2 linked regions of the Tamandua tetradactyla genome follow. The protein of the gene in region 1 purifies or fractionates together with the protein of each later gene. This does not show direct contact. Links are inferred from orthologs where the notes say so. Each region holds a gene or a part of one and is shown in the gene's direction. Other genes may lie near its edges.

Region 1 (15,736 bases):
ACCAATTGTCTTTGTGAGTCACTTCTCAAAATACCATGAAGGCCAATCAATCTGAAGGCCAGTTGCAGCCTGTGGGTATCCCTGATTTAGAATCATAACCTGGGCCATTAGAAACAATTAGGCTACTCCATATCTCATTTTACAGATGGGAAGACTAAAGCCTAGAAAGACTTGAAGTGCCATTGCTAAAATACAAATGGTTTTTCTGTTTATAAAACTGTTTCCCACCTCTGGAGAATTGTTCCTCTGGGATAACCAGTTATTGCAGTATGGAAAAAACATTTGACAGTCTGTCATATGCTTAAAAAACATCTTTGCCCTTTGTGCTTCTAAGGTGCTATAAAATGTCATTTACCAGTTTGCCAGTATAATGTTGCTGCAGAGCAAAAATTCTTAAACCTTTTTGGACTTTGGACTCGTTTATGTTCTTACCTCAAAAGAACTCTGCTTGTGTGGGTTTTATCTATTATATTTATTACATTAGAAATTTAAACTGAGAAAATCTTAACACTTTCATTTATCAATTCATTTAAAAATCATGATAATAAACCCATCACATACAATCAGAAATAATATTTAAGTGAAAAATATCTGTATTTTCCAAAACAAGAAAATAATTTAGTGAGAAAAGTAGCACTGTTGGTTTAAGAGAAGACAGCTAGGTCCCTATATCTGCCTCTGCATCCAAACTGTTGTGTTATATTATTTTGTCTAAGGTATATAAAAAAAATACGACCTTATACAAATATGTAGTTGGGACAGGGAGGAATATTTGAATTGCCTTTTTAGATAACTAGAGATATTCTTCTTTGATACCACATCAAAATTTAGCGAGTGATAATTTCTTAATGACACCTGAATACCACAATGTGGCATCTGAAACCATATCAATGAACTTTTATATTCTGTTACTTTAAAATCTATTGGTCTCTCTTGCCCTTTGATTGGAGCTTTTACATGTGTATGGTTTTGTAACATTTGGCATTGGCCATTTGGAAAATGGTGATTTGCTGAGTTATGCAGATCTTCTAAATCTTAACTCATTTCATTACACAATAGAATGTGTATACTTAAAAAGTGTGTATACTTAAAAACTCAAACGAGTTTTTTTCTAGTGGCAACCATCATACTTTGATTTATAGCAGAAGTGCTTTGTGCATGCTTCACATTTCATCACACAGAATATTAAAAAGCTGTGTACTCATGGATAGAGATTTAATGAAATTAATTTTTGCTGCTTCACAGGGACATTAAGAAAAAGCAATTTTTTGTTTGCTTTCCTGCAAGCATGTGGCGGTAAAGAATATACTTATATCTAATAGTGTCACTGCCTTGATTCATTCATGTTTTACCTGCCATTGCTTTTGTGTCATCAGTGTAAATATCAACACGGTAATAAAGGCAAATAACATCTTAAAATTGTTGTGAAATAATTTAACCCTCACAGATCATCTGATAAGATCTTAGGGACCTCCCCCAGGATTCATGGAATAGACTTTGAGAAATGTTACTATGAGCCATTTTTCAAAAAGTCTGCTTTCACTTCCAACTATTAATATCCCATCAATCCAAAGAACATTACTATGGCCCAATGGCAGACTTAGTTACCAAAAGGAATAATGGATTTTCTTTAAGAAAGTATTTGCCCTAAGTTTGGATTTAACGTTCAAAGAATCCCATTTTCCATCCCAAGTTTTAAAAGTTTGATTTACACACAAGTTTTTAGGCACATATCCACTGGGTAAAGTGAAGGATACCTTGATGAATTATGATTCTAGACAATCAGATAAACCAAATTCAGCCTTATTAGAAAGATATTTACTCCCTAAACTCACAAAAGCCTAAATATCTAGCAAGTATCTCCAAACCATATTGTGGTTTGGTTTATTCTGCATGTTCAAATCACCATAGCTTTTCACAGCATTTTCCCTGGCCCTTTGGTTTTGAGCAGGTCCTATCTGATTCTACAGTGCAGCACGGCATAATGCTCATAGGTTTGCTGGATCATATAGCCTGGGGTTTGAATCTCAGCTGTGTATTTTGAACTCTCTGAGCCACAGTTTTTCTGTCAGCAAAATGGGGATGATGATGAACTCTACCCTGGTTTATGCATTTGGTGAGTCAAGATATGGAAACACATAACATCAATTGCGGCATATAAAATACGCTGTTACATGGTAACTCCTATATGCTATCATTATCTGCAACTGGGCAAAATTCTACACTACCAGCAGAAGAGGGAGGGAGGATATGTTGCGCTCTCTAACTAATAATAGCCTTCGCAATTAGTTTAGTCTTTGTTTCAAAGAAAACTGAATGTTTGACACTTTTTATTTACACTAAGATAAATTGGCAAACTATGAATCTTCTGTCTATAAAAACGTTGTCTTTGTGTTAAAGTCAGATTTCCCCTAGTGCTTTCAAAATATGAGGTGGTTTAGAGGAAAAAAATTTTTCTACTCAGTTTTCTAGGAACATAATAATTAGACAAAAGTTCAACAGAGCGGTGTAATTAGAAAGGATTTCAAAGCTGTTCATTTGCTTCTGCTCCCCCTCCAGAGCAAACATTCAACATTTCCCCTGTTTATACTGTTCATTTGCTTAGCAAACTTTCTCAAAGAATTAATAACACCAAGATGAAATTTAGCCTCACTTGTCCAAATAATCCCAAACTGCAAAACGGATGATGGTTGAATTAGTGAGGTTTTGCTGAAAGTACACTGTCAGCTTGTCTTGTCCCTTCTGTCCTTGTGTGGTGTTTACCTGGGCTTCTGGTGATTTGTCTGTTTCTCTCACTGCTTAAAATGTACCAAGCAAAAAAAATAATAATAACAATAAAATAAAATGAAACAAAGCAAGCATTCAGCAGGCAAAATAAATGTTTGTGCCATATGGGCTCTGCGTTTGTTCTGTTATCCTTTCTTTTTGGCACACATCCTTCTGTCCAGGTCACTCTTCTTCTCTCTATTTCTTCCGCATTCATTCCACCTGTCACTTTAGATTATAGGAACTTGACAATCTTTGCTTCGCTTATTTTTCCTTATGGTGTTCATTTATTGATTTGACAATATTTCAGTGGCTTCTGTGTGCTGGGATCTGGAGATAACAGGATGAATAAGACTACATTCAGGTGAAGAATATATATGGAAGCTCCTTGTAATATTCTTTAATCTTTTCTGTAGGGCTAATTTTTTCCCCAAATATAAGTTAAAATTTTCTAGATCTTAGTTAATAGAGAGGTAGTTGATTTTGAAATGAATTCTTTGTATCAGAGGTAGCAAATTGGTAGCATCCAGGCTGAATGCTACCCACAAGCATGCTTATTTGACCCATAATGTATTCTTTTTCAATTTCTGGAGTTAATTGCCAAAGTGGAAAATTTGGGAGATTTCTCAAATATATCTGATTATGGTTCTCTTGATAATAGTAAGAAAAGTCTGTCAATGCCATATCAGAATTCTGCATGGCAACAATTCCCTTGAGGCTGGAGCTGCATGGTAACTGCTCCCTTAGAAGGGAGGTGTGCTTTCCAATTGGCCTAGCCCCTACCTGGCCAGGTTCCCTCAGTAGGCATCTTGCCTGCCTCAGCCCGATAGGTGTTTGAAGTTACAACCCTGCTCTGTTATTAAACTTGGACAGTTGTGAAAATCCCTATGAACTCGATTGTGCATTAGACCATGCCAAACTTGTTCTTTTAGCTTACATCTGAAAAGGAGATATGTTATTCGTCCTTACAGTGTTCATAGTCTGGTAGGAGAGCTAGTCATATAAATAGATATAAAATCCAACACAGAAGTCTCTAGAAAATAACATTTGTACACTTCTTCACTTTTCCTGAAGCACTCTGGCCCACTGCCAGCTTTTGTAAATAAAGTTTTACTAGAACCCAGCCTTGCCCATTTGTATCTGTGTCATAATGACTGCTTTCATGCTACAGCAACTGAGACCATATGGCCTGCCGAGTCAAAAACGATTGACCAGCTGGCCCTTTTCAGGAACGGTTTGCTGATCCCCTGCCATGGTGAATCTCATTTCATTCTCGAGGTGGCCCAATACAACAATTATATAATTGTGCCCATTTTATGGCTCACAGTGAGTAGGTAGCAAAGCCAGGAGTCAACAGGATGAAGCATCCATAGAATGTCATCAAAAGCTTGTTTCACCATCCCCCTGCCAGTATTTGACCAGGTTCTCACATCTGGGGAAAGGGTCTGGGGCAAAGCCTGCCCACTATGTTGGCTAAGAAATAAACACTGTGTTCTAGTTTGCTAGCTGCCAGAATGCAATATAGCAGAAACTGAATGGCTTTTAAAAAAGGGGAATTTAATAAGTTGCAAGTTAACAGTTCTAAGGCCAAGAAAATGTCCCAATTAAAACAAGTCTATAGAAATATCCAATCTAAGGTGTCCAGGGAAAGATACCTTGGTTCAAGAAGGCTGATGAAGTTCAGGGTTTCTCTCTCAAGTGAGAAGGCACATGGCAAACACAGTCAGGTTTAGACTGTTTTCATCTGGAAAGGCAGGTGGCAAACAGGGCATCATCTGCTACCTTTCTCTCCTGGCTTCCTGTTTCATGAAGCTCCCTGGGAGGCATTTTCCTTCTTCATCTCCAAAGGTCACTGGTTGGTGGACTCTGCTTCTCATGGCTATGTCATTCTCTGCTCTCTTAGAAGCTCCCTTTTATAGGATTCTAGTAAATTGATCAAGATCCACCTAGAATGGGTGGAGACACGTTTCCACCTAATCCAGCTTAAGAACCACTCTTGATTGAGTCACATCTCCAGGAAGATGATCTAATTAAAGTTTCAAACACACAGTACTGAATAGGGATTAGAAGAAATGGCTGCCTTTACTAAAATGGGATTAGGATTAAAACATGGCTTTTCTAGGGTACATACCTCCTTTCAACTGGCACATTATACCCTCTGGACCCTAAAAAAAAAGACATGTTTTCCCCATATACAAAATACATTAATTCCATCATAATATCAGAAATCCTTAAACCATTTCAGTAGCAATACAAATGAAATACAAAGTTAGAAACAGTGCAAACTCCTATCAAAGTTAGTTACAGGCATAGTCTGTCTTAAAGAGAAATTCTCCTCTGGCTCTGGACCTTGATTCAAGACAAGTTATTTGCTGCCAACATACAAAGGAGGAACAGTCATAGGATACCTATACCCATTTCCATAGGGAGGAATTGGAAGGAACACAGGGGTCACTGGACCCATATATTTTTCGAAAACCTGCAGGGCAAAGTCCATTAGATTTCAAAGTCTGAGAGTCATTTATCTTCAAGGTTTTAGAAAGCAACAGTCCCACCCTTTCCAAAGGCCTTCGCAGAGGCCTGCCTCTCTCTGAATGCAACTTTGGGGGACATTGAGGAGACCACCTTTTTCCCAGCTCCACCTTCTCCAAGGATCGGGGTCTACACCTGGGCTCTCTGCCATCTCCAGGACACATGTTCAACCCCTCCCTTTAGTGGCAGCCAGGCTCTCCCCAAACCCCAAGGAACATGCTTCACCCTCTCCAAGGCCTGAGGCATCCCACTGCAACCAGGTGGAAGGCCCACCCTCTGCCTTTGGGGTAAACTCACCCTCTCCACCTACTTGGGTGCATCCACTCTCCTGGCCCAAGGCTTCCTGATTTCAGACCCCAGCCTCCTTGGCTTTGCCTCTGAAGTTATTTTTCCTCCAGTGTGTCCCTTCTCTGTCATTCTCAGTCCCGACTAGCAGTGGTTCTCTTTATACAGATCCCACAACGCTCTCATTGGCTTTCTATGCAGTAGCCTTGGATCATGCCCGTCAGACATAAGGAGTTTCCACAAACCCTTCCTGGATAACTCCATGTCCAATCCTGGCTCTCTCTGAAATGGCTGACTGGTTTCACATTTGGCCAACCCCTCACATGGGGCACTATTCTCTGGGGTCTCCCTTTCTAGAAGCCCAGAATTTTCCAGAACATCAATTTCTGGTTTCTTTGTACTCAAGAGTTCAGTTCTCAGCTTCTCTCTCTCTTGTTGCATGTCACTGTAAGCTGTGAGGAGGAACCAAGTTGCACTTTCCACATTTTATTTGGAGATCTCTTTGGCTAAATATCCAAGTTCATGGTTTTTAAAATCTGCCTTCCAGCCAAAGCCACTAGTCAAGTTTGCCAGATTATCTGCCATTTTAAAACAAGGATTGCTTTCCTCCCAGTCTATAATAATATGTGCCTTATTTCTGTCTAAGACTTTATCAGAAGACTCTAAAGAGTCCACATTTCTACAAACAGTCTCTTCAAAGCATTCTAGGTCTTCTTTATCAAGCTCTTTATAACTCTTCCAGAATCCTCCCCCCATCCATTTAAAAAGCCATTCCAACATGTTTGGTATTTGCAAACCACAGCAGCACCCCGCTCTCAGTACCAAAATCTGTTCTAGTTTGCTAGCTGCCAGAATGCAATATAGCAGAAACTGAATGGCTTTTTAAAAAATGGAATTTAATAAGTTGCAAGTTTATAGTTCTAAGACCTAGAAAATGTTCCAATTAAAACAAGTCTATAGTAATATCCAATCTAAATTGTCCAGGAAAAGATACCTTGGTTCAAGAAGGCTGATGAAGTTCAGGGTTTCTCTCTCAAGTGAGAAGGCACATAGCAAACACAGTCAAGTTTTGACTATTTTCATCTGGAAAGCCATGTGGCAAACATGGGGTCATCTGCTAGTTTTCTCTCCTGGCTTCCTGTTTCATGAAGCTCCCTGGGAAGTGTTTTCCTTCTTCATCTCCAAAGGTCACTGGCTGGTGGACTCTGCTTCTCATGGCTATGTCATTCTCTGCTCTCTTAGAATCTCCCTTTTATAGGATTCCAGTAAAGTAATCAAGATCCACCTAGAATGGGTGGAGACATGTCTCCACCTAATCCAATTTAAGAACCACTCTTGATTGAGTCACATCTCCAGGAAGATAATCTAATTAAAGTTTCAAACACACAGTACTGAATAGGAATTAGAAGAAACAACTGCCTTCACTAAATGGAATTAAGATTAAAACATGGCTTTTCTATGGTACATACATCCTTTCAAACCGGCAAATGCTGTTTTAAAGGCCCTGCCCTCTACTGCCTTCTCAACTCCCTTGGGGTTTGACCCTGTGGCTGCTCCTCTGTCTCCAAGTAGGAAAGGGCTCAGGAGCAGCGATGTGGCAGGAAAGAAAATCTCAAAGCTGTTTGCAGAGCACTTTAAATAAGATGAAGCAATTGCCAGTTGTTCTTAATCGCATTGGCCTGCCTACTGGTGCCCATGGGATTTTTGAACAGCCTGACCTTGTGGCCTTCACAGTTGCCCTATAGACATATCATCTTTAATTGGAGAATTCCCCTGGAGAAGCATTTCCCCTTCGCATCCCCCACTTGGCTGTTCTGCTGATCTCCAGCCTCATCTTTACACGGTCACCAACCCACAGTCATGCCCAGAGGTTTTATACTGGACTGAACTGGGGCCATAGGAGAGTTTTCTTATATTTAAAAATAGAGATTTAACATAAAACCTGGACTGCTCAGTTTTTCTTGAAGAACAGGATGCTTTGGCCCTGCTAGTGCCCACTCCCTTGACCCTGGATACATGCTGACAGTTTGGTTGGTGGTACCAGTCACCAGGTGCCCACTTCTTGCGTTGATACCACTGGCCTAGCCCTGGAGGCACTTGAGATTTCAATGCCTGCCCAAGTTACCTCATAACGCTAGCCATCTCTTAGGCACAGCCTTGGCCCTGACCGTGCTCCTTGCCAACTTCACCATTCTCTCATGACACCTCCTGCTGTAGATCACAGCAGCTGGCACCACCTGCAGAATGAGCTCCTCCTGCCTGGTGGGATCCCACAGCTTTTTATGCAGCATTGCATCAGAGTCATTGGGCTCCATGCCTTTTCCTTCTTTGAGAGCAGAAACCTACTCTTGTTCCTTTGTGTGTTCAACACTTGGCACCAAGACTAGCACAGAAAAAGGCCCAGGAGTGTAACCAGGAAAGAGATTAACCAACTTTTCCCTCGGTGCATTGCTGGCAGACAGAGTAAAGGCCCTTGTATCCAAAGCCAAACCTCCAGGCCCAGTTCTCAGAGGCCTTTGCTGGTTTAGTGGAGGGGTATGGTCCCTCCAGACAGTGTCCTTTAGATTAAGCCCACTTGGAGTAATATTTCCAATCCTAGTCACTTTTTACTATACCCCTTAGCCTCTGTTTTCATTCTTTTCTTCCTCTTTAGTCTCCTAGGCTGCTCGAGCAAATACTATAAAATGGCTAGCATAAACTACGGGAATTCATTTGCTCTTTGTTTTGAGCCTAGGACAGAGACCAAATCATGGCATCATCAAAGTGATATTTTCTCCCTGAATACAGGAGAATACAGAATTCAGGAGTTCCTGAATTCTGGGACTGGCTGCTGGTGATCCTTGTTTCTTAGCTTGTCACATGGCAAGGCACATGGCAGCATCTTCTCTTCCAGGTTCTACTGATGTTCAGCTTTTGAAATTGAAAGTTCCCTCTGTGGCTTTCTCGTTTTGTCTGAATTTCATCCCTCTTTTAAAGATTCCAGTAATAGACTTAGGACCTATCCTGATTGAGGTGGGCCACACCTTAATTGAAGTAACTTCATCAAAATGTCCTACTTATAATGAATTCACATCCACAGGAATGGTTTAATTTTCAGAACATATTTTTCTATAGTACTTACAGCTCCATACCACCACACTCCACCTACTTTTCCCATCCTCCCTCCATTTCCTTTCCCAATGAAGTCACTTTTACTCCCACCTCCCACCTCACTTTGGAGCCTGCTGCTACCTTGACCTCCCATAGCTGATGGATTCTCTGGAGACAGCCCCTGTCTTCACGTGTCCTTTGTGGGTCATAAAGGCCCATGTGGTGAGGCAGCCGGCAGGGAGGGAAGGTGCCATGCATGTCAGCTCAGCAGCTACAGAACCCCCACAGGGACCACACACTTCAGAACTCTAAGCAAACTTGTGCTACATTATATGTGCTTGCCTGTGCAGGTTTGTGTTTTCAGGTATGTGTTGTGTTTCCTTTCCAGAGTCTTAAACTATTAGAGATGCATTTTATGAACCCACCTAAAATCACAGGATGTTAGAGCTTGGGGGAGGAGGGCACTTAACCAGTCTAGTCCAGGGTCGCATTTGTAGAACCTTGGGATATCTGAAGATGTTGAGGATCCAGTGCAGGGGCCAGGCAGGTAATGTAAATGAGACAGTGGGCAGGGTTTATTTAATTATGCTGCTTTATGTTAGGTTCTTTCAGCACCCAAATAGATTTTGCTCATTTGACACCCCGGAATAGTCTTCATTTTCATAAAGAAATCTGTTGTCTACTAATTTCTTGAAGCATGCAGCCTCTTCCCTCTCTCCACCATGTATAAAATGGGATAATAATTGTGTGGCCTCCTAGGGTTGTTGGGTGAATTAAATGAGTGATTCGAGGCACCATCCTTCCGTCAGGACCTGGCGCACACTAATTGCATGTATAATCGTTAGTGCTCTGGTGATTCCAGTGATGATGATCTCACTTTTGCCGGGAGATGTGAACTTTCACTTTCATCTTTACTGTAAAGAAAACTGTTCAGGCAAGACGATAAATGGCATCTGGGACTTAGCCTCAATGGCTGGGAGAGAGTGGGAGAGGTAGAGGTGGGGAACTGGCAGATGCTGGGCCATCCATCAGGGCGCTGCCCCTCAGCACCCAGGCAGGAACACAGGCCCTGTGTTGCCAGGTCTTTTCGTTTTTCAAAAGAAACCAGAAATCAGGATTTTTAAATGTCAGCTCACCCAAGCTGTAAAGGTTGGCTGAAAAAAACATTCTGTTTAAACCTTAGGGGGATCAGACAAACATCTGCAGGCTGGCTTCAGCCAGTGAGCTAGACTTTGGATCTGGTCTGATCGCCGTCATCTATCGGATTCTGAGGCTTAGGCACAGGGGAATTAAGTGCCCGCTGACACTTAATTCTCCCATGAGTAAGGAGAACAAGGCCCAGGTCTGTTGTGAGACCAGCAAAACCTTCCTCCTAAAGAGCCCACAGGGTGGAAGCTTCTGCTTTGTGATGGAGATTTCATTTAAGCCTGCAGAAGGAAACCATGAAAACCAGAGCAAAGGGTTAAACTCTTCTTCTTTCCCTCTTTTCGTGTTGTTGCTCAGGATCCCAAGCCTTCTTATTCTGGAGAGTTGCAGAAGAGCAGAGCTTATTGCATCAGACTAAGGAGGTTGGAACTCTGGCTCCCCCTCCTACCAGCCATGTAACCTTGGGGGTATTACATTTTATTTCTCAGTACTCAAACTTCTTTTTTATTTTTTGGCTTGGGCAGCCTTCAGGAATCAAACCCAGGTCTCCGGCATGGCAGATGAGAATTCTGCCACTAAGCCACTGTTGTACCGCCCTTGACTCCTAAATTATAAAATGGAGATAATAATAGGACCTTCCTGTAGAACTGCTATGAGGATCAAATTAATGCATCCACTCAAAATTCTTAGAATGATACATGGCACTTGGTAAGCTCTAGTAAAAGTTAGCTGTCAGAGAAAGGGATGCATTTTTCCTTATGGTTCTGGGGGATCTCATGCACCATTTCCTGTGTTCCCCAGCGCAATTTGGCAGATTTGGGGGGGGTTGGGGGTGGGGGAGTAGATACTCCAAAAGTTCTTTAATTTGGATACATACACATAGACACACATAGTTTCACAAATTGATTGTCCATACTTGTATTCAATGGGGAGGATGGGATTAGATCAGGGTGTGAAGTGGGAATGGATTTTGGAGCTTCATATGATGGATAGAGAGGTAGAACAAAGTCCATTTCAGCCTGGGAAATGTGCTGTCACATAAGCTACTGATTAGATTACATAAGTGTGGCATTTTCTTATCTTTACAGTCCAAATGGGGAAAAAAATCAATATTTTCCAATTATCTCCATTGGGGTATTAAACTTACTTTGTCATATTTCATTTCACCATCCCAGAAATAGTGAGGGGAAAGGGCCGGGAAGGCACATTACAAGTGAAGATGAAGTCTTTACTGCAGTTCATAATTACACCGCCTGTCCCTTCCTACATTGTCCATTCAGAAATGTGGTCATTTACTCATTCATCGATTCTGTTCATGTCGACGGGTCCCTACTCCTTTCCAGCCACTGTTCCAGATGTGGAGAGTTCAGTGGTGGAAAAGCAGAGATTCAGCTGGGGAGACAGACCACAAACACACAAATCATAAGGGAAAGCTCAGATAAGCTCTGGGCAGAGGATCCAAGGAGGAAGAAATGGGGGCGGGTCCCCTCTGAGGAAGTAGGGCTCTTCCAGTTGAGAGCCCATGTGTCAGAAGGAGCCAGCCTGTAGGAGACTGAAGGTAAGAGTCCTCCAAGAAGGGATCAGTGAGGGCAAAGGCCCTGAGGCAGGAAGGAATTGTACATCCAAGAAGCAGAAGATAGGCCAGTGCAGCTCTGAGGGTGTGAGTGTGAGGGAGGGGAAGAAAGAAAAGAGTGAGGTCCGGGAGCCCACATGGGGTCAGCCAGGGAAAGGATTTTGGATTCTTCTCTTCACACAGAGGGAAATTTTGGAGGGTCAAGAAGGCATGAGATATGGCCGTATTTAGAGATGGCCACCGTGGGAAAAGCCAGGCCCTAGTGGAGACAGGGACACCTACCTGGTGGATATTGAAGTTCAATGAGAGATCAGGAAGGCTTGGAGAGGGATGGTGCCAAGGCGCCCATGGATGCAGGGTATATCTGGGAGGCAGAATTCAACAGAACTTGCTGGAATCCATGAATAACAGTTTCTGGGTAAAGAAACTAATAACTGCCAAGTACCTGTATGTGCTGGGCACCGAGAAGTGTTTTACATGTACCGTCTTAACCCTGACAATAAACTTAAATGGAATGGGGACGATTAAGATTCCCAAACAGGTGACAAGTGGAGCCAGACAGGCTGACCCAGAGCCTACCCTCGTAGCCACTGCCCACATGGTCCCCAGGCGCTCATCTGATTATGAAGCCGCCCAAAAAATATGTCTAAGTGCTTCTAAACCAAGCAAATATATGAAACAATGTGTGGTTATAAATAACCATTTCTAGCTGCCAGCTGCTGTTTGGGTTTGGAAAGGAAAAGAGGATCTTAGCATGACTTGTTTATCTCAGGTAATTTGGCAGTAAGACGGGTCCCGGGAATTCACGTTACACAGAAAATGCAAAGGAAAAGTGACAGGGATATTGTTTCAGGCTTGTGGAAGATGGAATGTGACTGAAAGGCCCAGAACCACGCTGGAGGCCCATGGAGGGGGAGAATTTGAAGGTGAAGGAGAGGATGCGTCTCAGAGCCGGCATTTATGTAGCCTCCCAACAGCCACATTCTTTGTCTAATAGATTTCAGTTAGTTGACAGGGTTTCCTTAAAAAGGAAAAGAGAAATAAAGGGAGGTGTGGCAGGTTCTGTATTTTTACCCATTAAGGTAACAAGGAAACCAGAGACCTGTTTTTCAGGCTTGTATCGAGCTTCAAATTTTTAAAAATTACTTGCCAACATTAGAATGTTAGGTTTCTCACAAACCTGAACTTGAAACTTCTCTGGAAAAACGAAATCCTATCAAACTGGGCCTCCATTCCAGCAGGAGCAGAACAGTGGGTCTCCCTTTGGACCAGGCCATTTGCTCTCCAGGCTGCCCTCAACTCCACCTGCCGCCTTCTTTTGCCACAGTATCAGCCTGGCTCCAGTGCACACTGCTCCAGTGCAAACCCTGCAGGTAGAAGCCTGAATCAAGGTTGGAAAGGGGTTGGGCTAATGACAGTGCTGCTGGGGGCACTCCCCAGGCCTGGGCTGGAAGACAGGTGGCAGGCCACAGGTGCCGTGAGCATCCTGAGTATGAGACATCCAGCCAGACTGACTGGTTTCTAACCCAAGCTCTTCCTCGTCCTTGCTCAGTGACCTTGGGCAAGCCACAGGGGTTCTCTGAGCTCCTTCTCATTCCCCATGGCTAGAAATTCCAAGAGCTCTCTCCTGGGGAAGAGCCTGATGGTGCTGGGTACTTCTGTAAGCACGGGTGGAATCCACCTGCATGCAGAACCACCATTTCCAGACAGCCCATCCAGACAGCTCACAGTTTCACTTTCTGGTCCTTTTTCCTTTCTCATTGTGTCTAGCCATTTCATAAAAAACTCTGCCCTCAAATAAATGAGCAGGTCAACAATAGCCTTGTTTCAATTTCCAGAAACCATATTCTGTCATCATTTCATTCTTATCTTTCACCCATTACAGATTGATCTCTTAAAAGGAGGCAGTTTGTCTTCTGAAAATATCGTGTCCTCTTTCTGTCAAGCTTTGGGGTCCCGAGGTTCACGCTACTCCATCTGCCTCTGACAAACCGCCCTCTCTTGGACCTCAGATGAGAAAGGTGGTAGCATTTCATGGTATATTCTATTTTTTTTTCTTTTTTAATTGGAGTCAGCCTTTTGGACATTTTATCTTTTAAGTTCAGTTTAGTTTTTTTTTTTTAATAGGAAATAGAACTAAATGATTGCTCAAAAATAAAAATGATATAAAAAGTACACATTGAGAAATCTTTCTCCCAGGGGTTTTTTAAGCAAAATAGACCTATACAAGTATGTATTCTTGTTTTCCCTCCTCCTTAGAGAAAGCTTTGCCTACTACATACATTTCCTACCCCTTCACTTTTTTTTCTCCCATTTAATCTATGGCCATATTATAAGGACATACAGGGAGCAGCATATAAGAAGGTTCTCCATCTTTTTTTTTTCCAGCTTCAAGGTATCCCACTTCGTTGTGTGGATGTGCCATGTTTATTTGGCCAGCCCCCTACTGATGGACTTTGGGCTGTTTCTAAATATTTGCTGTTACAAATTGTGATACAATAAATGCCTTTTGCATACATTTGTTTCCTGTTTGTAGACATGTATCTTTACAGTAGATTCCTGGAAGTGGTATTGTTAGCGCAGAGGAAAATGCATTTGTACTTTGAAGGATGTGATCAAAATACCCTCCAAAGGAGCTGCACCATTTTGCACTCCTCACAGCAATGCTCAATAGGGGCTGTTTGCCAGGTCTTGCCAGCTGTGTATTATCAAACTGCAAAATTTTTGCCAATCATGTTAAATAAGAAAAAATGGCATCTCCAGGGGATGCTTGTCATTGAAATGAAATTACATAGGTATATAAAATGAAAGCAAGGTGAGCCTTCACAGTTGGAACACAGAAGAAATAAGTTGCCCCTCTTTCAGTAGCCTAATAGAAGCATTGTCACCCTACTGGGGGGAAAGAAGTTCTTTGTTCAAAATTCCTTGGTCCCTGCACAGGCCCTCTTACTGCAAGGTTCCAACTGAGTCACCATTCTTCTCCAAAGTCTGACTGTTCCTGCCAAGACCGAGCATTTTACCTGAGTGGACAGGAGTGGGTGACTCCAGCCAAGCCTGCCTCTCTGCATTTGGCATTTTACGCCTCTCACCCTATTCTAGATGATCATCTCTGTAAGCCATCTGGATATGTTGAGGAATCTTCTTTGTCTCTTGGGGAATCATTTTCTTCCAATCCCTTTATTAATTGCTCCAGGAGTCCAAAGAATATTCAAAAGCTGGGTCACAGAAATAGTTCCTTAAACTCCCTCCCCAGAACATTCTGGTGTTCCTGTACTAATCTTCCATGACCTGACTGAGTGGCACTAGCTTTGGCACTGGACTGCCTAGATTCAAACCAAAGCTCCCCCTCATTAGTTCCGTGCTTTTGGGCAAGTTTCCTAACTCTTTGGGTCTCAGTCTCCTTATCTGACAAGTGGGATAATAATAGTTCCTATTTCATGGTGGGCAGCTGTCAAGAGTAAATGAATCGATGCATGTAAAGGACTTACCCTGGAGTCTTGCATGCTGATGGTGATGATGATAAATGATGATGTGATAATGATGGTCATGGTGATGATGATAGTGATGATGATGAGAGAGACAATGGCAAATAGGAGCACACCAAGCTCTACTGCTTAGAAGCCACATTTTTTTTGTGACCCTGAGGAAGAAGCTCAGTCACTCGGTCTGTTTCCCATTTTTCCATCATCTTGTGCCAATGCCAAGAGTGATATCCATCTAAAGACAGAGTTGGCAGACCATAATCCATGGGCCGCATCTGGCCTTGTTGCCTTCTTTTTTTTTTTAAAATAAAGTTTTATTGAAACACAACCATGCCCATTTGCTTATATATTGTCTTTGGCTGCTTTCACTCTACAATGGTGGAGTGAGTAGTTGCACCACAGATTTTATGGCCTTATGATGTCATGTTCCACTAAGTCAAAAATATGTACTATCTGGCCTTTTCCAGATCGTTTGCTGAGCCCTAATCCAAAAGACTGGTTGTGAGGCTGCAGGAGAGGATACCTGTGCATAGAACCTGGTGCAGAGAAGTTATGCAGCACAGAGGTGGTGCATCATTCAAGCATTTAACTGTCATGAGCTCAGTGCCTGGCTCCTGCTCTCATCCCAAGGGGTGAAATAGAGAGAGTAATTACAGTATGAATAGTTTAATTAGAAATACCATAAAATTGTATTTGGCATATGTATTTTTTATCATGTACTATACATTTCCATATGTGCCGAATTATACATGCATATTAAGCTACAGCAAGGGGTTTACTAAAGCTGTGTCCTGTGGTCTTCTTTATGGGTTAAGTCTCCTATGCAAAGGTAATTTGGACTCTGATTCTCCCCTGCCTGATG
Region 2 (16,067 bases), on another chromosome or scaffold:
AGTTTATTCTCTAATGTCGGTTCACATCAGTGGGACCATACAGTATTTGTCCTTTAGTTTTTGGCTAGTCTCACTCAGCATAATGTTCTCTAGGTCCATCCATGTTATTACATGCTTCATAAGTTTATCCTGTCTTAAAGCTGCATAGTATTCCATCGTATGTATATACCACAGTTTGTTTAGCCACTCGTCTGTTGATGGACATTTTGGCTGTTTCCATCTCTTTGCAATTGTAAATAATGCTGCTATAAACACTGGTGTGCAAATGTCCGTTTGTGTCTTTGCCCTTAAGTCCTTTGAGTAGATACCTAGCAATGGTATTGCTGGGTCGTATGGCAATTCTATATTCAGTTTTTTGAGGAACCGCCAAACTGCCTTTCACAGTGGTTGCACCATTTGACATTCCCACCAGCAGTGGATAAGTGTGCCTCTTTCTCCGCATCCTCTCCAGCACTTGTCATTTTTTGTTTTGTTGATAATGGCCATTCTGGTGGGTGTGAGATGATATCTCATTGTGGTTTTGATTTGCATTTCTCTAATGGCCAGGGACATTGAGCATCTCTTCATGTGCCTTTTGGCCATTTGTATTTCCTCTTCTGAGAGGTGTCTGTTCAAGTCTTTTTCCCATTTTGTAATTGGGTTGGCTGTCTTTTTGTTGTTGAGTTGAACAATCTCTTTATAAATTCTGGATACTAGACCTTTATCTGATATGTCATTTCCAAATATTGTCTCCCATTGTGTAGGCTGTCTTTCTACTTTCTTGATGAAGTTCTTTGATGCACGAAAGTGTTTAATTTTGAGGAGCTCCCATTTATTTCTTTCTTTCTTCAGTGCTCTTGCTTTAGGTTTAAGGTCCATAAAACCGCCTCCAATTGTAAGATTCATAAGATATCTCCCTACATTTTCCTCTAACTGTTTTATGGTCTTAGACCTAATGTTTAGATCTTTGATCCATTTTGAGTTAACTTTTGTATAGGGTGTGAGATACAGGTCCTCTTTCATTCTTTTGCATATGGATATCCAGTTCTCTAGGCACCATTTATTGAAGAGACTGTTCTGTCCCAGGTGAGTTGGCTTGACTGCTTTATCACAGATCAAATGTCCATAGATGAGAGGGTCTATATCTGAGCACTCTATTCGATTCCATTGGTCAATATATCTATCTTTATGCCAGTACCATGCTGTTTTGACCACTGTGGCTTCATAATATGCCTTAAAGTCTGGCAGCGTGAGACCTCCAGCTTCGTTTTTTTTCCTCAAGATACTTTTAGCAATTCGGGGCACCCTGCCCTTCCAGATAAATTTACTTATTGGTTTTTCTATTTCTGAAAAATAAGTTGTTGGGATTTTGATTGGTATTGCATTGAATCTGTAAATCAATTTAGGTAGGATTGACATCTTAACTATATTTAGTCTTCCAATCCATGAACACGGTATGCCCTTCCATCTATTTAGGTCTTCTGTGATTTCTTTTAACAGTTTTTTGTAGTTTTCTTTGTATAGGTCTTTTGTCTCTTTTGTTAAATTTATTCCTAAGTATTTTATTCTTTTAGTTGCAATTGTGAATGGAATTCGTTTCTTGATTCCCCCTCAGCTTGTTCATTGCTAGTGTATAGAAACACTACAGATTTTTGAATGTTAATCTTGTAACCTGCCACTTTGCTGTACTCATTTATTAGCTCTAGTAGTTTTGTTGTGGATTTTTCTGGGTTTTCGATGTATAGTATCATATCGTCTGCAGATCATTTTTTTTTGAACATTTATATCTCTTCAGCAAAACGAATAAAAAAGAAAAAAGAAAAAACTCATATATACCACACCCCTTACTCCTCCCTCTCATTGGCCACTAGTATTTCAATCTACTCAATTTAACATTTGTTCTCCCTTTTATTTGTTTATTTTTATCCATATTTTTTTACCCATCTGTCCATATTGTAGATAAAAGGAGCATCAAACACGAGGTTTTCACAATCATACATCACACTGTAAAAGCTGTAACATTATACATTCATCTTCAAGAAATATGGCTACTGGAACACAGCTCTACAGTTTCAGGTACTCACCTCTAGCCACTCTAATGCACCATAAACTAAAAAGGGGATATCTGTATAATATATAAGAATAACCTCCAGGAATACCTCTCAACTCTGTTTGAAATCTGTCAGCCACTGACACTTTATTTTGTCTCATTTCTCTCCTCCCCCTTTTGGTTGAGAAGGTTTTCTCAATCCCTTGATGTTGAGTCCCAGCTCATCCCAGAATTTCTGTCCAGCATTGCCAGGGAGGTTTACACGCCTGGGAGTCATATCCCATGTAGAGGGAGGAGGGCAATGAGTTCACTTGCCATGTCAGCTTAGAGAGAGAGAGAGGCCACATCTGAGCAACAAAAGAGGTTCTCTGTGAGTGACTCTTAGGCCTAATTTTAAGTAGGCTTAGCCTATTCTTTGCAGGGATAAGTTTCATAGGGGCAAACCTCAAGATTGAGGGCTCTGCCTAGGGATTTGGTTGTCCCCACTGCCTACTAGAATATCAGGAATTCTCCAAATGGGTAAGTTAAATTTTTCCCCCTTTCTTCCCATTCCCCCAAGTGGACTTTACAAATACTTCTTTATTCACTCTTCAAATCACTCTGGGACCCTTACTTTAAGCATAGTGTACCCCTAAAGCCTTGCATAATGCTCACCTCAGTAAAGGTTGAATGAAATTACACACTGGTCAACCTGCCATCATTGCTTGAAGAGACATTTGGCTGATCCTTTGTATAATTGTTAAGTGATTACTCAGAATAACATAAGATACTAGAAGCAACTATTTGGTATGGTGGAAAGTCAAACCCTGCCAGAATAATTGAATTTTGTTCTGTGGTAATATGACAAACTGCATCAAGGAAGAATTGTTAGAGTGATTGTGTGTTGAATGAATGACCCAATTAATCTTGATTTCAATGAAACTTTTAATTCTTTCACAATAGCTTTCTCAGTAATAATCTAGGAAAGCATTGTCCCAGCTATACAATTCAGTGGGTGAGGAAGTAGTTAGGCATAAACTATCAAAGAAAGACTTTAGAATTAATAATTGATGGATATGAATCAGTAGTGCAATACCATTTTTTAAAAAATTAAGGGACAACATGCTACTGGAATATATTAAAGGACTGTCACATGAATTCCATATTCAAGTTTTAATCACCACAATTCATCAAGGAGATGGAGAAATGCCAAGGATGAATGCCAAAGATAATTAAAGGAGTGGAAAATAGGTCCTATGAGGAAACGTTGTGTAATTGAGATAGGAGAAGGCTGAACCACACACTTGATTACTACTTTCACATACATACATATTTTTATGAGATGGTTTCTTTACATCCACTAAGAATTAAGCACAAAGAAATTAGCTTAAATCAAAATAGTCAAGCTTTGGTTGTACTTGAAGAAAAATATTGTAAACCTGGATTACAAAATGGAAATCTGATCATGTTATTTCCCATATTTAAAAAACTTTAATTTTATTGCCTGTCCGTCAAAGCCTTCTTTTCCTCTTTCATCACCACCTCCTTCTCTTCCCCCTCCCCACCTCTTTCTTTTCCTTTTTTTTAAAATAAAGGATGTAATTTATGAGTATGTAATTGATAAGTCAAGGTTCCAGTGATTTTTCAGGAAGGTGACATGAACGGTGGTTTGAGAGTTGCAATTTGTTGGAGAATGAAATTATACATGCCGCATGAATCATTTATGCCATATCAAAACCAGATAAATATGAAGAAGAAAAAGAGAGGAAAACAAATCCAGAGCTGCTCATGCTGTGGCCAGAATGCTGTTTTTGTGCTATGTTGAGTCATAGCCTAAAGTGACAGCAATCCACAATACAATCATCATAAAGTGGGGGCATCCTATTGTATGAAGGTGTTCTAGTAAATAAATCTGCATTGCTATGTTTTAAGCCAAAAAGAGGATTTAAAAATATACCTATCTTTTTTTTTAAAATGACTCCCTTCCTTTAATATGTTAGATCCTTTTTTTTTGCATGAGCAGGCACCGGGAAATGAATCCTTCAACATTTTGAGGGGAATTTTCAAAATTTCATTTGGAAATAATTTCGAACTAATAGGAAAGTTAAAAGACTAGTTCAGAGTATGCCTATATACTCTTTTATTTTTCTTTTCTTTTTTTTTAATTTTTAAAATATTTTCATTGAGATATCTTCATGCACCATACAGTCCATCCAAAGTATACAATCAGTGGCTCACAATAGCATCACGTAGTTGTGTATTCATCACCATGATTATTTTTAGAACATTTGCATCACTCCAGAAAAAGGAATAAAAAGAAAAAAGAAAACCCCATACATCCTATACCCCTTACCTCTCCTTCTCACTGACCACTATTATTGCAATCTACCCAATTTTTTTTAACCCCTTATTCCATCACCCATTATTTATTTATTTATTTTGGCTCACCTGTCCATACCCTGGATAAAGGGAGTGTCAGACACAAGGTTTTCAGAATTACATGGTCACACTGTAAAAGCTATATGCTTATACAGTTGTCTTCAGGAATCAAGGCTACTGGAATACAGTTCAACAGTTTCAGGTATTTCCTTTTAGCTATTCTATTACACTGAAAACCTAAAAGGGATACCTATATAATGTATAAGGAAATAACCTCCAGGATAACTTCTCAACTCTGAAATTTCTCAGCTACTGAAGCTTTATTTGGTCTTATTTCTCTCTCTCCCCTTTTGGTCAAGAAGACTTTCTCAATCCCATGATGCCAAGTCCTGGCTCATCCCAAGAGTCAGGTCACATGTTGCCAGGGAGATTTATACCCCTGGGAGTTATGGCCCACATAGTGGGAGAGGGTAGTGAGTTCACCTGCCAGGTTGGCTTGGAGAGAGAGGCCATATCTGAGCAACAAAAGAGGTTCTTTGGGGGTGACTCTTAGACATAATTATAAGTAGGCTTTTCTTCTTCTTTGCAGGAATGTTTCATAGGCTGAGCCCCAAGATTGAGCCCCAGGTGAGGAAGTTTAATATTTCCTCCTTTTTCCCGAATCCCTAAAGGGAATTTTACAAATATTTTTTATTGTCTGCCAAAATTACTCTGGGGTGTATAGGGCATCACACTAACCTGTGCAAACCAACAAGATCTCACTCCTATTCAAGATTCCATGTAATTATGATATTCAAATAAACTAATCATACAAATTAAATTAGATCGTATGCTACCAAAAATGTAAATTTTGTACCAAATAAACATCTCTTCCTTTGATCTCAGACAACAAAGTATACATATATACTCTTTATTTGGCTTCACTTGTTAATATTTTAGCCCGTTTGATTGTGCTTATTCACTCTCTTTCTCTTTATGAATCTTTAGGATCCAGTCAAAGTCTATGCTTTTAAAGAATGACACAAACAAAACTCTAGGACTACCTTTTTCCAGTTCCAAACTCCCCACGTTTAATGCTCAAATTCAAGCTGCAGTGCCTTTGTTTCTGCTGTTTGGAGTCCTAGACCCTTATTTACCTGACACACATCATTTTTTTTCCTTTCAATTCAGCTGGGGTCACCTCTTTTCACACTCTTCTTAGTGCCCTCCTGAGCCCAGGTGGAATCGATCTAAGAGGAAGCCAGAGAGCTTTCTTCTTAACCTCTCCCTACATTCTGTACCCTAAACATACCTGAAATATCTTATCACATATTCATGAGTCCATATCTTTAGGTTCTTTGAAAATAGGGTCTACATTTTATTAGTCTGTGTACCCCTAGATCTGAGCCTAGGGTCTGGTGTCCAGGGGCTACTTATAATATTTTTGAATCAACAATTGACTCTGTCACTGTAAAGAGTTGCTGAAGGAAGTTGCAGGGACTCTTACCCTGAAATGCTTTAAGAGGAAGGAAAACGCCCCCCACCCCGGGGCCTGAGATGGAGGAGGAGAGTGATCCCTAAAAGCTGAGCAATCTCTAAAAGCTCTTCTAGTTACATGGTAGAATGTGGTGAAATCAGGTGTTAAGTTTTCATTTTTCTCAAGGTTCAAGTTCATGTAAAGCCTTCTCAAGAACATAAATGGGTTAAAAAAAATTTTTTTTTTGCTTTTTATTCTGAACTAATTTTAGACTTCAGATAAGTTGCAAACATAGTAACAGAATTCTAGAAACTTTTCACCCAATGGTAACATCTTACATAACCCAAATGGTAACATCTTACATAACCATAGAACAATGATCAAAACTAGGAAATTAACATTGGTATAATACTATTAACTAAAGTCTAGACCATCTTCAAATTTCACCAATTTTCCTACTAATGCCCCTTTTCAGTTCCAGGATCCTACATTATATTTAGTTGTTATGTCTCCTTAGTCTTCTCCAGTTTGAGAATTCCTTGGTCTGTCCTTGTCTTTCATGACCTTGACAATTTTGAAGAGTTCTGGTCAATTTTTGTAGAGTATCTCTCATTTTGGGTTTCTCTGATGTTTTCTCATGATTTGATTGAAATTCTACATTTTTTGAAAGAATGCCAGAAAAGTGATGCTGGGCCCTTCTGTACATCCCTTCAGGAAGTCATGATATTGATATGTATTATTACTGGGAATACTGAAAGTGGTCACCTGGCTAAGGTGACTTCTGCTGGATTTCTCCCCTGTAAATTTATCTTCTTTCCCTTTGAAGTTAATAAATATCCTGGAGATAATTTGCGACTATGCAAATATCTCCTCAAACTTTTACCCACTAATTGTAGTATCCATCAAGCAACTTGTTATAGCAGTTACTGCTGTAGCATTTGCCTAATAGGAATTTTTATTTTTCTGTTTCTATGTTTATTGACTGGAATTCTTCTGCACAGAAAAGCTGTACAGAGTAGATTTAGATGCAGAATGTCACATGCTTCAAGCATTATTTCTGATTTTTTCATTCTTGGAATTATTAGACAGTAATAATTTTTAAAAACAAGTCCTTATTCTTAAGTATTTGCATTTTATTAACGTTTGCCTCCAGATATTACAGTCACTTTAAAAAGTTATTTCTACCTTGTCTTTTTAATAGGCAAGCTGAACAATTCTCTTAATTTATATATGAAACATCAGTGACTTATTACTAAAAACAAAACCAAAAACAACTGAGTTCAAAAGTCACACCTTACACATGGAAGTTGAATTGCTAGCTCATTGCTTAGCTTCTGATGTCCAGTAGTAAAAATAATGTTGATGCCTTGCCACAAATAGTTTATGGGGCACATATTAGTTCTTTATTAGAGGATCTTTAATTTTAGCTTTCCTTAGCTTTTGATGGTTTACATAGCTAATTGTTGCTAAATTGCACAGAATAAACTATATTTAGCATGAATTCTCTGAGCTCAGCAATTTTCTTTGAGCATAGTTATGAGGATTAGTCAGCAGAAAAGTATTGAATTGGAGCTGATTCATTTCTGTGTGTGACAAATGCACATTCCAACCATGGTATCTTTAATTTTATAAAAAAATACAAAAGAGCATTATTTAGACCAGGGATTTTTAAACTTTTTCTGTAGGGACCAGATAAATAATTTAGGCTTTGTGAGCCATCCAGTCTTTATCCCACCTACTCAAGTTTGTTGTTGTAGGGTGAAAGCAGCTATAGACAATATGCAAATGTGTGGCATGACTGTGTTCCAATAAGACTTTATAAAAACAGGCAGTGGGCTGGGTTTGGCCCATGGTAGTAGTTTGTTCACCCATGATTTAGACTATAAAAATACATGTAACCCACAACTCAAAATGTTCATTAACATTTATTTTTGTCATTTTTCTCTACAGGCAGAAGACTGATCTTTGAAAATATGTATTTGGGAGATCGTCACGTTGTACTGAATACCTTGTGCTGGTGCTGCCATCGAAAAATCTGGTTACACTCTGGGGAGGCCTGCTACCACTGCAGGACTGAACCGCCTCGGCCCTGAGATGAGTGTCCTGCCTGAGCGGGCACACCATGAATAGATACACAACAATCAAGCAGCTTGGGGATGGAACCTATGGTTCTGTCCTGCTGGGAAGGAGCATTGAGTCTGGGGAACTGATTGCTATTAAAAAGTAAGTTTTATCCATTGTGCTCATAAACTGATCCTGAACTACACAATGTCAGCATAATTTTAACTCTACTCTTTCTATTTCCTGTCTTTGAAAAATTTCTTAAGTAGAATGGTTGGGAGGCAGAAGACACTTAGATGCTGATTTCTGTAAGTTAGATGATTGTTGACTGGAAGGATGATGTTAGAGGTCTTAAAAACATTCCTGCTTTAGGTTGGCTACTTTGCATATAGCACTGTATACTGTTTTTTTTATTTTTTTGCACAGACAGGCACCAGGAATTGAACCTGGGTCTCCGGCGTGGCAGTCACGAACTCTGCCACTGAGGCACCATTGCCCTCCTAGCACTGTATACTTTTTCAAAGTGATTTTTCATCTTGTGAAGTTATAAAGGGCTGGGCAATGACCTCAATTTACGGGAGAGTAAACTGAGGCTCTGAGAACTTGAGTGGCTTACCCTGGGTCGTGCATACACGGTGGCGTGGTGACTGCTGACAGGTTCCCCTTGCCCCACTTGGCCTTTGCAATCCAGGTCCATACCTATTGTCTTAGTAATCATTGCTGTGTAACAGTGTAAGCTGAAAATTAGTGGCTTAAAACAACATGTTTATTATCTCATGTCTTTTGTGGGTCAGGAGTCTGGGCATGGCTAAGCTAGGTTCTTTGCTTCAGGATCTCTCACTAGGAGGCAACCAAGGTGTCTGCCAGGGCTGGGTCTCATCTGAGGGCTGGACTGAAGAGGGATCTGTTTCCATGCTCACTCACATGGTTATGCGCAGCATTCCGTTCCTCCCCATGTGGGCCTCTCCAAAGAGAGCTCAAACTTGGCTCCTTGCATCATCAAGACAAGTGATCCAAGAAGGCAGTGAAAGACTCTTCTAAGGAGAAGAAAGTCACAGTCTTCTGTAAACTGATCACAGAAGTAACATCCTTGCAACATTGCTATAGTTTTTGGCTTGAAACAAGTCATTGAAGGAAAAGGAATTATACAAGGCTATGACTACCAGGTGGGATCTCTGAGGCCATCTTAGAATCTGCCTGCCACATGCATTTATATTCAGTTGCCTTTTTAACATCTCCATTTGGATGGCCTGTGGACTCTTCCAACTCATCATACCCCAAACTAAACTCCTATTCAAAATATTCTCCTCTCTTGCTCCAGACCTGTTTTACCTTCAGTATTCCCTATCTCAATAAGTGGCACTACTGTCCCTCCTCCAGAACCTAACTTCTCTTCCCCTTGCGCCCTACCTGCAGTCGTCTAGTCCTATAGATTCTAATCACTAAACATTTTTCTGATCTACCTACTTCTCTGTATCCCTACTGCTACCTCCCATTCAACCCATTATCATTCACCACCTCAACCACTACATTAATTTTCTCTGTAGGATTCCTGGTTTCCATTCTTGCCCCTATTCATTTTAGTCTGAAGAGATTGTTTTAAACACACTCATATGATTGTCTGAAACCATTTGTGCCAAATGTTCTTTATGTCCCTCGTGCCCCATCATACCTCCTTGTCTCACCTGATTTCAGTGCAGCTGTGTGGTACAGTTCTATGCCTGCTGCCAGCATCCCACCACAAGTGTACATGGGAAACTCTCAACCAAGGTGCATTCTATACGGCTCCTTAAAAGGTGCTCAGTTTCCTAGCTTCCAATGAAATCCTTCATTGGTTTTCCTACCTATCCATTTCCATTTTCACTGTTCTTTGCCTTGGCTTCCAGGAATCACCTCCCAAATAAATTGCCTGCACCCAAGTCCATGCCTCAGGCTCTGCTTTTTTGGAGATCCCAAACTAAGACGGTATCCAATGTCTTTCTTTCAGTTTTAGGATCAAGTCCCAAAACTATAACATGATATACAAATTGCTGTATCACTTGGTCCTTGCCTATTTTCTTCAGCCTTATCTCCTTCCTTTCATTGTCCCCCTTGCTTACTTTGTACCAACCACACTGGCTTTGTAGCTTCTTATACGCACCAAATACCTTCCCTCCCAGATCCTTAATGTGTTGTTCTGACCTCCATGCTTCCTACCTGGCCAAGTTTTACTCATCCTTTATGTCTCCATTGAATTGTCACTTTCTTGGAGGAGCTTTCCCTAATGTCCCAGACTAGATTAAGTAGTTTTGAACTCTGCCTCTTATAGTGTTCTAGACCTTTCCTTTTTTGTACTTAGCATGGAAAATTAGTTCATTTCTGCCCTCCTGTAAAGATTCCAGCTCTCATCAGTATATCTCTAGTGCCTAGCAAAAGGGCCTACAACTACAAAGGACTAAATTATATTCTGAACATGAATAAATGAATTGGTCACTCAACTTGGAGGCAAAGTGAGCTCATGGACAGACAGTAGAGGTGGAAGTTTGTCTGTTATCAGCCAGCAGTGAGACCTTGGGAACGTTATGCAACTTCTCCTTATCTTAGTTTCCTCACTTTGTCCCATCTATCTCACAGGACTGTTTAAAGGCTCCAGTGAAATAATGTAGTTGAATTGTATTGAAATATAACTTCAAAATGTGGTTGACTGATATGGCTCTCTTTCTTTCTTATCAGGCTCTCGACCATGGGTTAGAAAACTTTCTGTAAGGGATAAGAGAGTAAATATTTTAGTTTTTGCAGGCCATATAGTCTCTTTTGTAACAGCTCAACTCTACTGTTTTAGCACAGAAGCAGTCACAGACAATATGTAAATGAATAAGCATGGGCTGCACGCCAATAAAACATCATTTATAGACACCGAAATTCTAATTTCATATAATTTTCACATGTCACAAAATATTATTCTTCTTTTGATTTTTTTTCCAGAATTTTTTAACCATTTAAAAGTTAGAAAAAATCATTCTTAGCTTATAGGCTATACAAAAACAAATGGCAGGAAGAAAAACCAAAAATAAAACAAATGGCAGGGTAAATTTGCCCCTGGACCATAGTTTGCAACCCCTTTTCCTGGAAGGTCTAGAACTGTACTGACGATAGCCGATAACTATGTGTCTATTTAAATTTAAATTTAATTTAATTTAATTAAAAATTCAGTTCCTAAGTTGCATCAGCCACATTCTAATTGCTCACTAGCCATATGTGGTTAGCAGCTATTGTACCAAAAAGTGTAGAACATTTCCATCATTACAGAAAGATCTATTAGGTAACTCTAATCTAATTAGAATAAACCTGATGGATTTTTCCTACAGGGCAAGGTTATCTCTATTATGTAGAATTCTTGTGCTTCATGAGATTTGGGAAGAATTGGTTTGATCTAGGATTTCTTAAGATGCCCCTGAATTCCAAGGATCCCTAGAGAGGCCCTTGAATCACTCTAGGCAGTGGGAGGTCCTGCTAGCTGGCAGAGTAGAAGAATTAGAGTCAATATCAAACTTGGGTTAGCTCATAGTTCACAAAAGACTTTGGGGAATCTGTAATCTACCTTCTTCCCAAAGTAACAAAAGGGGTTTGAAGGAAAGGTTGATTTTTCCCACATAGTCTATAGGCCCATCCTTCACCTCCCAATTTCTGCTTTGAAGACACTGCCCCTGGATGAGTTCACCTTAGATACCCATTCCTTAGCATTTCATGGGACAAGACCAAATTGTTGGAGGTGAAGCCTGCAATAACACTTGGCACATCTTTCTTTTATCTTTTTCCTCCCTTGCAACCCCTTCTTACTTCGATCTAGGTTTTTTTTTGTTTGTTTGTTTTTTTAACTTTTTTTATTAATTAAAAAAATTAACAAACAAAACATTAAGAGATCATTCCATTCTACATATACAATCGGTAATTCTTAATATCATCACATAGTTGCATATTCATCATTTCTTAGAACATTTGCATCAATTTAGAAAAAGAAATAAAATGATAACAGAGAAAAAAAGATTATACATACCATACCCCTTACCCCTCACTTTCATTTACCACTAGCATTTCAAACTAAATTTATTTTAACATTTGTTCCCCCTATTATTTATTTTTATTCCATATGTTCTACTCTTCTGTTGATATAGTAGATAAAAGGAGCATCAGACATAAGGTTTTCACATTCACAGAGTCTCATTGTAAAAGCTATATCATTGTTCAATCATCATCAAGAAACATGGCTACTGGAACGCAGCTCTACATTTTCAGGCCGTTCCCTCCAGCCTCTCCACTACATCTCGAACAACAAGGTGATATCTACTTAATGCATAAGAATAACCTCCAGGATAACCTCTCAACTCTGTTTGGAATCTCTCAGCCATTGACACTTAGTCTCATTTCACTCTTCCCCCTTTGGTCGAGAAGGTTCTCTCAATCCCCTGATGTTAATTCTCAGCTCATTCTAGGGTTTTTCTCAGTCCCTTGATGCTGAGTCTCAGCTCATTCCAGGATCTCTGTCGCATGTTGCCAGGAAGGTCCACACCCCTGGGAGTCATGTCCCACACAGAGAGGGAAAGGGTGGTGAGACTGCTCCTCGTGTTGGCTGGAGAGAGAGGCCACATCTGAGCAACAAAAGAGGCTCTCTTGGGGGTGACTCTTAGGCCTAAATTTTAAGTAGACTTGACCTATCCTTTGTGGGGTTAAGTTTCATGTGAACAAACCCCAAGCCTGTAGGCTCAGCCTATAACTTTGGTTGTCCACACTGCTTGTGAGAATATCAAGAATTCAACTTGGGGAAGTTGAATTTCTCCCCACTCTCACCATTCCCCGAAGGGGGCTTGCAAATACTTTTCCAGTCACTGATCAAATCACTCTGGGATTCATTGGGGCATCACTCTGGACAAACCAACAAAATCTCATGTGCTACCTGAGATTCCAAGTACTTATGACATTCAATCAAACTATCTACATGAGTTATATTAGGAAATGCTCTAGTCAAAATATAAATTTTGTAACAAATAAACATTTTTTGCTTTAGTCTCACATATAAGGTGACATTTTAAAGTATTAATTATCATCTATTTTCAACACCCTGCAATAATGACATTCCTGTGTTCTTCCTCAGGCAAAAACATTTCTTAAATTTGTACATTGTACATTTCACTATTATTATACACTCTAGGCATTCCTAGATTATACCATCTCAATCTTTACCATCTATCTTTCTTTCTGATTTCATTTATGTCCCCAGTCCTCCTCCCTCTATCATTCTCACATGCAGGTTCATTCAGTGTTTTAACATAATTACATTACTGTTTGGTAGTATTGTGCTGTCCATATCTGAGATTTTATATTCAGTCCTGTTGCACAATCTGTATCCCTTCAGCTCCAATCACCCAATATCTCACCCTATTTCTATCTCCTGATGGTCTCTGTTACCAAGGAAATATTCTAAGTTTATTCACTAACATCAGTTCATGTCAATGAGACCATACAGTATTTGTCCTTTTGTTTCTGGCTAATCACACTCAGCATAATGTCCTTAAGGTCCATTCATGTTGTTACATACTTCATAACTTTATTCTGTCTTACAGCTGCATAATATTGCATCTTATGTAAATGTCACAGTTTGTTTAGTCAGCTGTCTGTTGATGGACATTTTGGCTGTTTCCATCACTTGGTAATTGTTAATAATGCTGCTATAAACATGTAAATGTCCATTTGTGTCCTTGGCCTCATGACCTTTGAGTAGAGACAGCATATACTTGGGTCCTGTTTTTTAAACCATTCTGCCAGACTATGTCTTTTGATTGGAGAGTTTAATCCATTAACATTCAGTGTTATTACTGTATGGGTAGTACTTTCTTCTACTATTTTGCCTTCTGGATTTTATATGTCATATCTAATTTTCCTTCCTTTTACCTTTACTCATAGTCTTCCTTTCTACACTCTTCTCCACACCTCTCTCTTCTGTCTTCGTATCTGTCTCCAGTGTTCCCTTTAGTATTTCTTGCAGAGCTGGTCTCTTGGTCACAAATTCTCTCAGTGATTTTTTGTCTGAAAATGTTTTAATTTCTCCCTCATTTTTGAAGGACAATTTTGCTGGATATAGAATTCTTGGTTGGCAGTTTTTCTCTTTTAATAATTTAAATATATTATCCCACTGTCTTCTCGCCTCCATGGTTTCTGCTGAGAGATCTGCACATAGTCTTATTGGGCTTCCCTTGTATGTGATGGATTGCTTTTCTCTTGCTGCTTTCAAGATCCTCTCTTTCTCTTTGACCTTGGACATTCTGATTATTAAATGTCTTGGAGTATGTCTATTTGGATCTGTTCTCTTTGGGGTACGCTGCACTTCTTGGATCTGTAATTTTAAGTCTTTCATAAGAGTTGGGAAATTTTCAGTGATAATTTCCTCCATTAGTTTTTCTCCTCCTTTTCCATTCTCTTCTCCTTCTGGGACACCCACAACACGTATATTCATGCGGTTCATATTGTCTTTCAATTCCCTGAGTCCCTGCTCATATTTTTCCATTTTTTTTCCTATAGTTTCTGTTTCTTGTTGGATTTCAGATGTTCTGTCCTCCGGTTCATTAATCCTATGTTCTGCCTCTCGAAATCTACCATTGTAGGTTTCCATTGTTTTTTTCATCTCTTCTACTGTGTCTTTCATTCCCATAAGTTCTGTGATTTGTTTTTTCAGACTTTCAGTTTCTTCTTTTTGTTCCTTCCTTGCCTTTTTTATATCCTCCCTCAGTTCATTGATTTGGTTTTTGATGAGGTTTTCCATGTCTGTTTGTATATTCTGAATTAGTTGTTTCAGCTCCTGTATGTCATTTGAATTGTTGGTTTGTTCCTTTGATTGGGCCATATCTTCAATTTCCTTAGTGTGATTTGTTATTTTTTGCTGGTGTCTAGGCATTTAATTACTTTAATTAGTTTATTCTGGAGATTGCTTTCACTTCTTTTATCTAGGGTTTTCTTGCTGGATGAATTTGTTGTCTATCTGTTCTTTGACATTCTGTTCAGCTTTATCTGAACCTTTAGCTTAAGTTTTGTTTAACAGAGGAGAATTTTTCAGTTCTTGTTTTCTTGTTTTTTGCCCTGCTTGTGTGGTACCTTTCCCCCACACACACTTAGGAGGGTCTGCTTATATATTATAGACCCCAGCCAGATTTTCCCAGACCAAACTGGCCTCCTATCAGGAGGAAAGAGTCACCTGCATCGGTTTTCCCTGAGCATGAGACCCAGCAGGTTGAAAGACTTTCCTGTGAAGTCTCTGGACTCTGTTTTTCTTATCCTTCCCCGTATGTGGCGCTTGTCTGACTGCAGGTCCCACTAGCATAAGATGATGCGGTACCTTTAACTTTGGCTGGGGGTTTGTTGGAGACAGAGGAGAGGTTGTAGGCTGGTTTTAATGGCTTCAAATTACCAAGCACTGGTGTCTGAATTCATTGATGGAGGGATTCCACCTGGGTGGGCCTTCACCCCTCCCCTGGGGAAGGCACAGGCTCCAGATAAGCCCCCAAAAGAGCTCACTTCTGCCTGTGCCTGGGGCAGTTGCAGCCTGAGAAGTCCTGCCGCTGTATGCAGAGGCAGTCAAGCCTTTGTAGATACACAGCCACAAAAACCTGTTTCCTTCTTTTTTTTCCCCCTTTTTCTGTCAGTCCTGCCCCCTTGGTGCCGGGGCAAAAATGAGCAACCTCCGCTTTGATTGGGTTCACCTAAGCTAGGGGCCTATTTTTAGTAGTCAGAATTTGTTAATCAGTTCCACAATTGGCGTTTGATTGTGCCCAGTCACTGCTGCTGGTAAAGTCCTTTCCTTTCCCTTCTGGGAAGCAGCCTGTGGGGGAGGGGCACTGGCGACCGCAGCTTTGGGAACTCACGGTTTTGGGGGGTGCTCGCAGCCGGTCCAGCTGGTCCAGACTGGGGTACGCTGTGTGTCTGGTCACTGACGTGGCCCCAGGAGCTGTTCTGTACTGTTTCTGGTTATTTAGCAGTTGTTCTGGAGGACGAACTAAAACGCGCACGTTGTTAAGCCGCCATCTTGACCCAGAACCTCCGATCTAGGTTTTTTGACCCCAGGTCCAATATTTTAATTATTCGGAAGTGGGAAGTTCAATAAAAGCAGGACTAGAGAGAGAAGCCTTCAGTAGA

The links.
Region 2: the proteins of KATNIP (region 1) and CILK1 purify together in Homo sapiens (affinity purification with mass spectrometry; 3 studies listed by BioGRID and IntAct, with this or other methods). This does not show direct contact. The link is inferred for Tamandua tetradactyla from reciprocal best matches to the Homo sapiens genes KATNIP and CILK1.

Annotation. Positions count from the first base shown.
Region 1 is NC_135349.1:25,961,303-25,977,038, reverse strand, and holds the start of KATNIP (katanin-interacting protein), read left to right. Parts: upstream 1-8,848; 5' UTR 8,849-8,929; coding exon 8,930-9,037; intron 9,038-13,277; exon of another isoform or gene 13,278-13,404; coding exon of another isoform or gene 13,405-13,429; intron 13,430-15,341; exon of another isoform or gene 15,342-15,426; coding exon of another isoform or gene 15,427-15,439; intron 15,440-15,736. UniProt on the Homo sapiens protein: May influence the stability of microtubules (MT), possibly through interaction with the MT-severing katanin complex.
Region 2 is NC_135331.1:111,600,419-111,616,485, reverse strand, and holds the start of CILK1 (serine/threonine-protein kinase ICK), read left to right. Parts: upstream 1-7,960; 5' UTR 7,961-7,965; coding exon 7,966-8,066; intron 8,067-16,067.